Nothobranchius furzeri: one gene and its partner. The protein of the gene in region 2 purifies or fractionates together with the protein of the main gene of each other region. This does not show direct contact. Links are inferred from orthologs where the notes say so. Each region holds a gene or a part of one and is shown on either strand. Other genes may lie near its edges.

Region 1 (3,822 bases), on a different chromosome or scaffold from region 2:
TTAAAATGTGCTAAAAATAGCAGTTTTTACACAACACGTCGGACTTTCTATTGTGTTATTGATGTCCGTTGTCCCTCGGGGTTTCTGCAGGAGGACACGGGTATTTATGAGTGGCGGAGGAAAACGAAAGAAAGTAAATAAATGTTTTGTGATCAGTATAATTTGAGAAAACCACAGCAAACATGCTTTTGGCAATCCTTGTTAGTGTGAGAAAAAAAGTGTAGAAATTAAAACGGACGTATGTTAATAGGGAAACAGCCGGCGAGCTGTTTGCGCCGTGAGCGGTTCTGTTTCTGTTTGGGCCGCAGCCGCTCGCAGCGCTACTTCAACAGTTATCCTCCTAGTTTTTGTCTGGCTTGCAGGCTAGCAGATTCTCACACGAGGGGAAAATCGGCTCAGGTTGTTTACTTATTTTTTGCACAGGCATTTGTTTACTGTGAAGTAAAGTTGAAGTGCTGAAGTTATGCAAACTAATTTTGAATAAAACTTGAAGAATAACTGGCAATTGCTTGCTCATTTTAAGAGGTCTTTCATAATTATAACATGCTATTTGATATCAAATCACTTTTATTGTCACGTCACATGTGCAGGTACACTGGTACAGTACATGCGAGTGAAATTCTTGTGTGCGAGCTTCACAGCAACAGAGTTGTGCAAAAATACGGTAATGTAAAAACAAGTAAAATATAAAAATGGCTAATCTAAGTATACAAATGAATAAAGTAAACAATAAGATAAGAGATATAAAATGTACAGAGGTTGGTATGTGCAAAACAGTGGCATTAATGTACAGTATGGAGTGTGTAATGTTGGAACTTGGTGGAGCTCGCGACGAGGCAGCCATACTCGACGCCATCTTGGCTCATCAATATATGATATAATGGTTTACAAACACAAAAGGGTAATTTATTAGAGTACTCGATTAATCGAAAAAAAGATTCGATAGAGTACTCGATTACAAAAATATTCGATAGCTGCAGCCCTAAAAGCAACTTTTAGACTTTCAAACTCGGTCTTAACTTGTGATTTGCAAGTAGGGTTGTGATTGTTTTGTTTTAATTTAAAGAAAAGTCATTTCTCTTCACTCCAAAGGAAATAAATCTGTTATGTATTGCTGACTTAACAAAAGAAACTGAATATTCAAACACAAAGAAGTAAACATACAAGACTGTGCTAAAGTTTTAGGCGGGTGTGGAAAAAAATGCTGTGAACAAAGAACGCTTTCAGAAATATAAATGATTGTTCATTTTTATCAATTTGCAAAACACAAAGTGAGTGACCCCAAACATCAGGCTAAACTCATTAGGATCCATCTCCAGTTTAAAGAAGAAGTCCTGGAAGTGATGGTGTGGCCCCCACAAAGCCCTGATCTCAACATCGTGAAGTTTCTGAGATTACATGAAGACAGAAGGATGTGAGGAAGCCTACATCCACTGTGGTTGGTTCTCCAAGATGTCTGGAACAACCTACCAGCCCAGTTCCTTCAACAGCTGTGTGCAAGTGTAGCTAGAAGATCTGATGCTGTTTTGAAGGCTCACACCAGATATTGATTTAATTTAGATTTCTCTTTTGTTCATTCACTGTTTTTGTTGATTGGTGAAAACAAATAATCAACACTTCCATTTTTCTAAGCATTGCCTGTTTACAGCAGTTTTTCCACACCTGCCTAAAACTTTTGCACAGTTCAGTGTTTAAGATAAAATGTATGAATAAAGCTGAAGGACTAGAGGCCAACTTACTTCTTGCTGTTGGCCAGCTTGCGGAATTCACCAACAGTCATGGATTTCTTCTGAATGTTGTACTGGGTAAACAGGCCTGACTGACCAGTCACCACCTGACTGATGGGTGCTGGGATCACCATGTCCTCGATGGTGTCGTAGCACTTGCGTGGTTTCCAGCCCTCGGGAGGAATCACCTGAACAAAGAAAGGTTTGGTCATGTTAATTTGCAGATAAATAGGCTAATGCTCTAGATTCCTTATAGGGTAGGAAAGGAATGACAAGACTACAGCAAGTTTTATTAGGAGTGGTTCACTCATTTCATCGATACATTTGCAGTTGTTTCTATAGGAATGAAAGCCTTGTAAGTGTGTGTGTGTGTGTGTGTGTGTGTTGGGGGGGGGGGGGGGGGTTCAGATGTGCCTGTTTCAGCATGGAGCATTCAGCTAGAGGAAAAATTAGCTAGTTCAGATGACAGGATTATTTATCTTATCTCCTGATATTTTGACATCTCGCCTCTGATTGGCCAACAGCAAGATGACTCTACCACCGACTCAGTTTTCTTTGCAACATTAATGCTTTATTAAAAACAAGCCCAAAGGAGTTCTGCTGTGTGGTGGAGATGCTAATGCTAACTGCTAGCCTCTATTAGTCGAGATGTTCTCTGCTGTTTGCTGACCGATTATAATCACAAATTATAATTCATAATTTGTTTTGGAGTGAAACACACCTGAATGTGTAGGTGGGGGTTATGTTATGTGCATATAGGTGTTGTAATACCTTAGCCAGGCCAGCACGATGAGCTCCTTGACTCTCCATGTAGACAATATATTTTGCAAAGTCCTTAAACTCCTCCATGGTGGGCCGGAAGGTCATGATCTTACAGCTTGGGTTCTTGGCAGCATTTGGAGGCAACGGTGCTGGCAGAGGAACCTGGGATGGCTCAGAACCAGGGACAGGAACTGATGTCGCTCCCGGGTCTATGGGCGGAACCGGGGGGGAATGTGGACTAACATTTTGTTCTGAAGTCACAACATCAGGAGTTTCAGTGATTGCTGGCTCCTGGGTAGGACTCTGGTCTTGGGCTGCAGCGGAGTCCAGAGCAGGAGGAGAGGCTGGGGCCGGATCGGAGGCTGAGGATGGGGCAGGGTTTGGGGCCGACTCCATGTCCGTGGGCATGTCAGTAGCCATTGGAAGCTTGAAGGTTTGCAGGTAAATCTGTCAAGTACAACACTGGTGGTTAAAGACAGTTTAATTTATTTGAGTTTTCTCTACTCTCAAAAACAAACACAGAAAACGGAAATGACGACAACCAAACAGGTTCCAAAGGCTCAAAACTGTATGCAAAAGGGATGCACTAAGCTCAATGTGATCACTAAAAAACTTTCAAAGTATAATCTAATGTTAGGAGCTTTTACATTTTTATCATAAATTAGTATTAACATAGTTTTATGCTTGACTGGATTATCTCGTGTGCAAATTAAGTACTGTGATTAATTTGTGTCGCTGCGTGATTGCTTAGCATGAGGATATCTGTAAAGCCAATAACACGAGTCAGTGACTCAATGCAATCTGCTGGGTTATAAGAAACTTTAATTGTGAAAATGAACTGAACTCAATGCAATAATTAGGTCCGATGGAAATATTTACTTTCCTAAATTTTCAACTTTTACAGAATAAGTTAAAATCACTGATGTTTATTTTTATTCTTCTTTGCTCCTCTTGTGAAATGTACACAATCCTGTCAACCTGCTTCGCTGTAATGACACCAAAATTTTCCCAATGAGGGACAATAAAAGAATTTTCTAATCTATTCTAATCTACTCTGTATACATTGTTAAAGCTAAAACCTGGAGTTTTCCCCCTTTTAGGAATTAGGTATGATTTTTAGAATGCGCGAGTCTAACCCTGTAATAGGCTTGAACGATTTTGGGAAAATATTGAACTGCCATTTTTCTAGGAGAAATTGCAACTTCAATTTGATTCCCAATTTTCTTCAAATTAAGGTTCAAAACATTATTCACAATATAGTGGTATAAATCATACCATATAAACATTAAAGCCACACGCTTTTCCACTTATTATCTTTTTAATGTAAAGTAGG
Region 2 (4,386 bases):
TATAATATAATACCGATAAAAGTTAACCGATACCAATGGAGTTGCTTGAAAACGGCTTCACTGTAACTTGTCATTTCTGTTAGTTTTGTGATGATTTCTGTTCATATATTTTACTTTTTATCTACCTCACAGTCTTTTCCTGCTGAAAGCAGAGAAGAAAATAAAATCTGTATTATAAATCACTGCTTTTTTTGTGTGGTAGAAGTATCGGTATCGGCGAGTACTCAGATCCAAGTATCGTATCGGTTTAGAAAAAAGTGGTGTCGTTGCCTCCCTAAATATTTTATGTCAAAATTAAGCAACGTCTCCATGAAATTAGCTTCAGTAGGACATCAAATGTCTCCTAAACTTATGTTTAAGCCCAAAAACGACTCCAAACAGCTCTGACTCAAACAGCTTCCCCAACAACAAGGCCAATATGGGCTGGGGTTAAAATTCTGTCTTCTCTCCCTAAGCTGGATCTAAAATGACAACAATATCACAAATGTCTACATAAAGAGTTGGAAGAAAATACAAAAAATCCAACTATTATTACCTTTTTTTATTCTAAAACTGCTGTATTCTCCGTCCACGTGTTACAGTAAATAATGACTGATGGATCAATCTGCCCAGTTTTGATTTAGTTCCCTTAAAGAGTGCCTGCTCACAACATAAGTCATCTCCAAGTGGCAGGTTCAGGCAACATGGCTGCAGAACATTCAGTGAAGTTAGAATATTGGGTTAATTAAAAAATTCTAATTTGTCAAATAAAGAAACCAAGAGATTGTGTTCAATCTTCACTTCAATGCAACCCCCCCCCCCCCCCATTCTGAGCAACCGCAGCACGAGGGCAACAGTGGACAGGAAAACCTTTTAACAGGAAAAGAACTGCCTCAGCTAAACTCATCAGCTCAAATTACAGCATCCGCTAACGGAAAAGGTTTCCGAGCTTAGCAAAGCTAATAACGCAAATAACAAAATCGTGATGTGAAGCATGGGTTACCACCAGAGGAAATACACACTTTGGTGTCATTTGTGGATTTTAAACTTTACGGAGTCATTACCGGGAAAGGATTCTCTACTAATGAGTGTTTTTTTAACAACTGGTTTTTTTTGTTTTTTTACGTGACAACTGTCATAATAAAAGCCTTCTCCATAAACACGTGTCTGGTGAACAAAGTAAATGATACTAACCTTTGCTCTGTGAATAGCTATAAGCTAGCCCATTGAAGGACTCGCTGTCTGCCATCATCAAAACTGTTTTAGGCAGGAGGAATACTTTCTGTAAACAATCAGAAGCAAACAGCACAAAATAAAATATTGTTTGTTGTTTCAGGCAGTTGGAAATTTGCAGATTTTGTGCGTTTCGTGTATTTCCTCCATGTAGTTTCCCCTTTTTATTGTCACTTCTCGTTTTCTGTGATTGCCCTACCAAAGTAGCCTAATGAACTAGACCAAATTCTCGTTTTGCAAAGTTTGGTCTAGGCATGCTCCATTGGAACCTCCGCAGCTCCTACCAGGACTCTGGCTAGCCAATCACAGCTCTCTAGAGGGGTTTCAAACACATAAAGAGCTGTGATTGGTCCATAATGGTGGGCCAATCAAAGTGCTCTATCTGCTTAGTGAACAAATCACAGAGCTTTATCCGCTTTGTGGGCCAATCAGGGCACTCTATGGGCCATTCCCATCTGTACCGGGTCGGCCCGGGCCGGGTAGCCCCAGTCGGCCCCAGCTTGGCCCGGTTGATTCCACACATCCTTGTCTTATGCCCATGTGGGCTGATTCTACCCACCAATCAGAGGCTTGCTCTAATGGAAGGTGTGAATTTGCTGTCAGCAGTGGGTGTGTTGGCCCTGGTCGGCCTGAAGCAGACCCCCTCGAGAAGAGGGCTGAGAATGAGCCTTGGTTGGCCCGGAAAAATACCAGGCCACCCAGATATGTAAACAACCTACGCTACCCGGCCCGGGTCGTACAGATGGGAATGGCCCATTAATGCCTGGTGGGTGGGATGATGCAACAGAGTGAAACAAGAGTATGTCACATTCATTGTCCAGTGGAATGCGGAGATAATTTGAAAGACAACGGTAGAACCCGCCCCACAGCTAAGAGCCGTCAATGGAGGGTGGCCAGAATACATTTATTTAGTCTGGCTTCCCAGGCTACTACCAAAGGTCACTGGAGGTGAAATTTACCTCCACTTCTTCAGCCAGGACGTTGCAGAGAGTATGAACGTCTGTGGTGGAGGGTCCACGCGCTGAAGCCCATGCCAGCTGCTGCTGGGTCCGGAGCACCCTGCGCGCGCAGTTCCTCCACAATCTGCACACACTGACAAAAACAAAACAAAGATGTTCAAAACAAAACAGGAAGTTAGCTTGTCTGCTAAAACACAATTTCAGTAATCGCGCCAAACTTCCAATAAAAATACACCTACCGCTTTAGCTTCACGTTTGTCTAATAATTTTAAAGAACCATAATGACTTTTAATAAGCTAACATAAAGGATAACCAACAGTTTAGCATGTAAACATTACCTCTCGATTCGTAGAAGCGATTTGGTCGGTACGAACGTAAGAATCCTTTCAACCACTTCGGCGACATTACTGAGAACATAAGCTGCCTTACTATCCTGTGAAAAATCGCCTAACTCTTGAATTTCACTCATATTTCTTTCAGATGGAGCGTCTTTAAGCCACAACTGAACAGAAACGAACTTTAACGTCACTTCCTACGCTGCGACGACGAAAGTGGCGGTGCTGCCCCAAGCGGACGGGAGGGGTAATGCAGGCGCTATATTTTATAGTAAATAAATGTCTCAACGGGTGTAAACGTAAATAAATCACATTCGTCTCTTCACACCACATACAGCTCGCTCTCCCTCTGGTTTTATTGCCATGTGTGCGAGAAATCACAACATTAGGAAATTGCTGCAGTTCTTGGTGCAAAAAGAAAGATTCAAAAATAAGAGAAGTAAATATAGGAAATAAGAATATGATCATGATAAAATAATATAAAGTGGCAATAATTAGAGAAACGGCTACTATATAGGTACTGATCAGCTCGGAACAGCTCAGGTACAAAACACAACAGGGTCAAGTGACTGAAACCAAGCCACCGGAGTGTTCATGAGTCCAACAGCAGAGAAGAAGAAACTGTTATTGTGGCGAGAGGTTCTGATCTGAATGGATCTGAGCCTCCTGCCCGATGGGAGCGAGTCAAAAAGACTGTCCACTGGGAACCGGTGCTGATGGTCTGCAGGTCCGAGAGCTTCCCGAGCCTGACTTGTTGCTTCCTGTCTTTCAGGAAGTCAGTGATCCACCTGCAGATGTGGTCAGGCACCTTCATCTGGGACAGTTTGTCTTGGAGGAGGTCTGGCAGGATTGTGTTGAAAGCAGAGATGAAGTCCACCAACAGGATCCTGGTGTAGGTACCCGGATAGTCCAGATGATGCAGGATGTAGTGTAGAGCCATGTTGATGGCATCATCTACAGACCTGTTGGCTCAGTAGGAAAACTGCAGGAGGTCCAGGAGGGGGTCTGTGAGGGTCTTGAGGTGGGGAAGAACCAGGTGCTCAAATGACTTCATGACCTCTCTCTCTCTCCATCCCACTCTCATTTCCCACTGTAAACACAGACCCCATCACCACACACACACACACACACACACACACACACCAGGGGGTCTGGGGTTCTCGTACTTGTGCAGTGATGTTGGAGGGCTTGATGAACACACTCCAGGAGATGATTGTTTGGTCAGGGCCTGGCAGACGTTTTGCCCTGCACAACTGGAGCTCTGCACTGACTCTATGCGTGTGCGTGCGTGCATGTGTGTGTGTGTGTGTGCGTACACCAGAATTTACTCTATGTAAATGTGGGATCATTTTATTAGTTTGTTTTTGCATTCATTCCGTTTCTTTAAACCATTTAGTGAGGCCTGTGATAAATATTTATGTTTTATTTACTGTATTAAAACTCAAAGAAATCTAACCTCAACGAGGCCATACATAATTTGTGCCTTAAATATGTTTTGTTTCATAGTTTAAATATTTAATTATTGATGAATTGTGATTTAGTACAAATTCTCTCTCTCTCACACACACACTTAAAGCTCTTCTCAAAATAATGCTAACAAATTTATATTTTAAACAAAGTGTATAAATCAGAAACCTTTTACACGCTCACTTTGTTTCAGTGACAAAACCTTTAATTTGAGGTTAAAATATACAAGCTTAGGCTTCATTATCGTTTATTTTTTACAGTACATAATAAAATAAAAGAATGTTTTAAATTGTGAAATGTACCTTTAATAATTTAGTTTCTAAATTATGGTAAATAACTAACCTATTTTTTTAATGTAAAACCTTTACTGCTTTTAAAACGGCCACTTCCTCCACACATTTAATGGCAGATAA

Evidence for each region.
Region 1: the proteins of fbxo22 (region 2) and kdm4b purify together in Homo sapiens (affinity purification with western blotting; 3 studies listed by BioGRID, with this or other methods). This does not show direct contact. The link is inferred for Nothobranchius furzeri from reciprocal best matches to the Homo sapiens genes FBXO22 and KDM4B.

The regions. Positions count from the first base shown.
Region 1 is NC_091748.1:64,721,211-64,725,032, forward strand, and holds part of kdm4b (lysine-specific demethylase 4B), read right to left. Parts: intron 2,937-3,822; 5' UTR 2,910-2,936; coding exon 2,499-2,909; intron 1,916-2,498; coding exon 1,740-1,915; intron 1-1,739. UniProt on the Homo sapiens protein: Histone demethylase that specifically demethylates 'Lys-9' of histone H3, thereby playing a role in histone code. Does not demethylate histone H3 'Lys-4', H3 'Lys-27', H3 'Lys-36' nor H4 'Lys-20'.
Region 2 is NC_091749.1:67,399,810-67,404,195, forward strand, and holds the start of fbxo22 (F-box only protein 22), read right to left. Parts: upstream 3,087-4,386; 5' UTR 2,641-3,086; coding exon 2,510-2,640; intron 2,305-2,509; coding exon 2,172-2,304; intron 1,262-2,171; coding exon 1,174-1,261; intron 1-1,173. UniProt on the Homo sapiens protein: Substrate-recognition component of the SCF (SKP1-CUL1-F-box protein)-type E3 ubiquitin ligase complex that is implicated in the control of various cellular processes such as cell cycle control, transcriptional regulation, DNA damage repair, and apoptosis.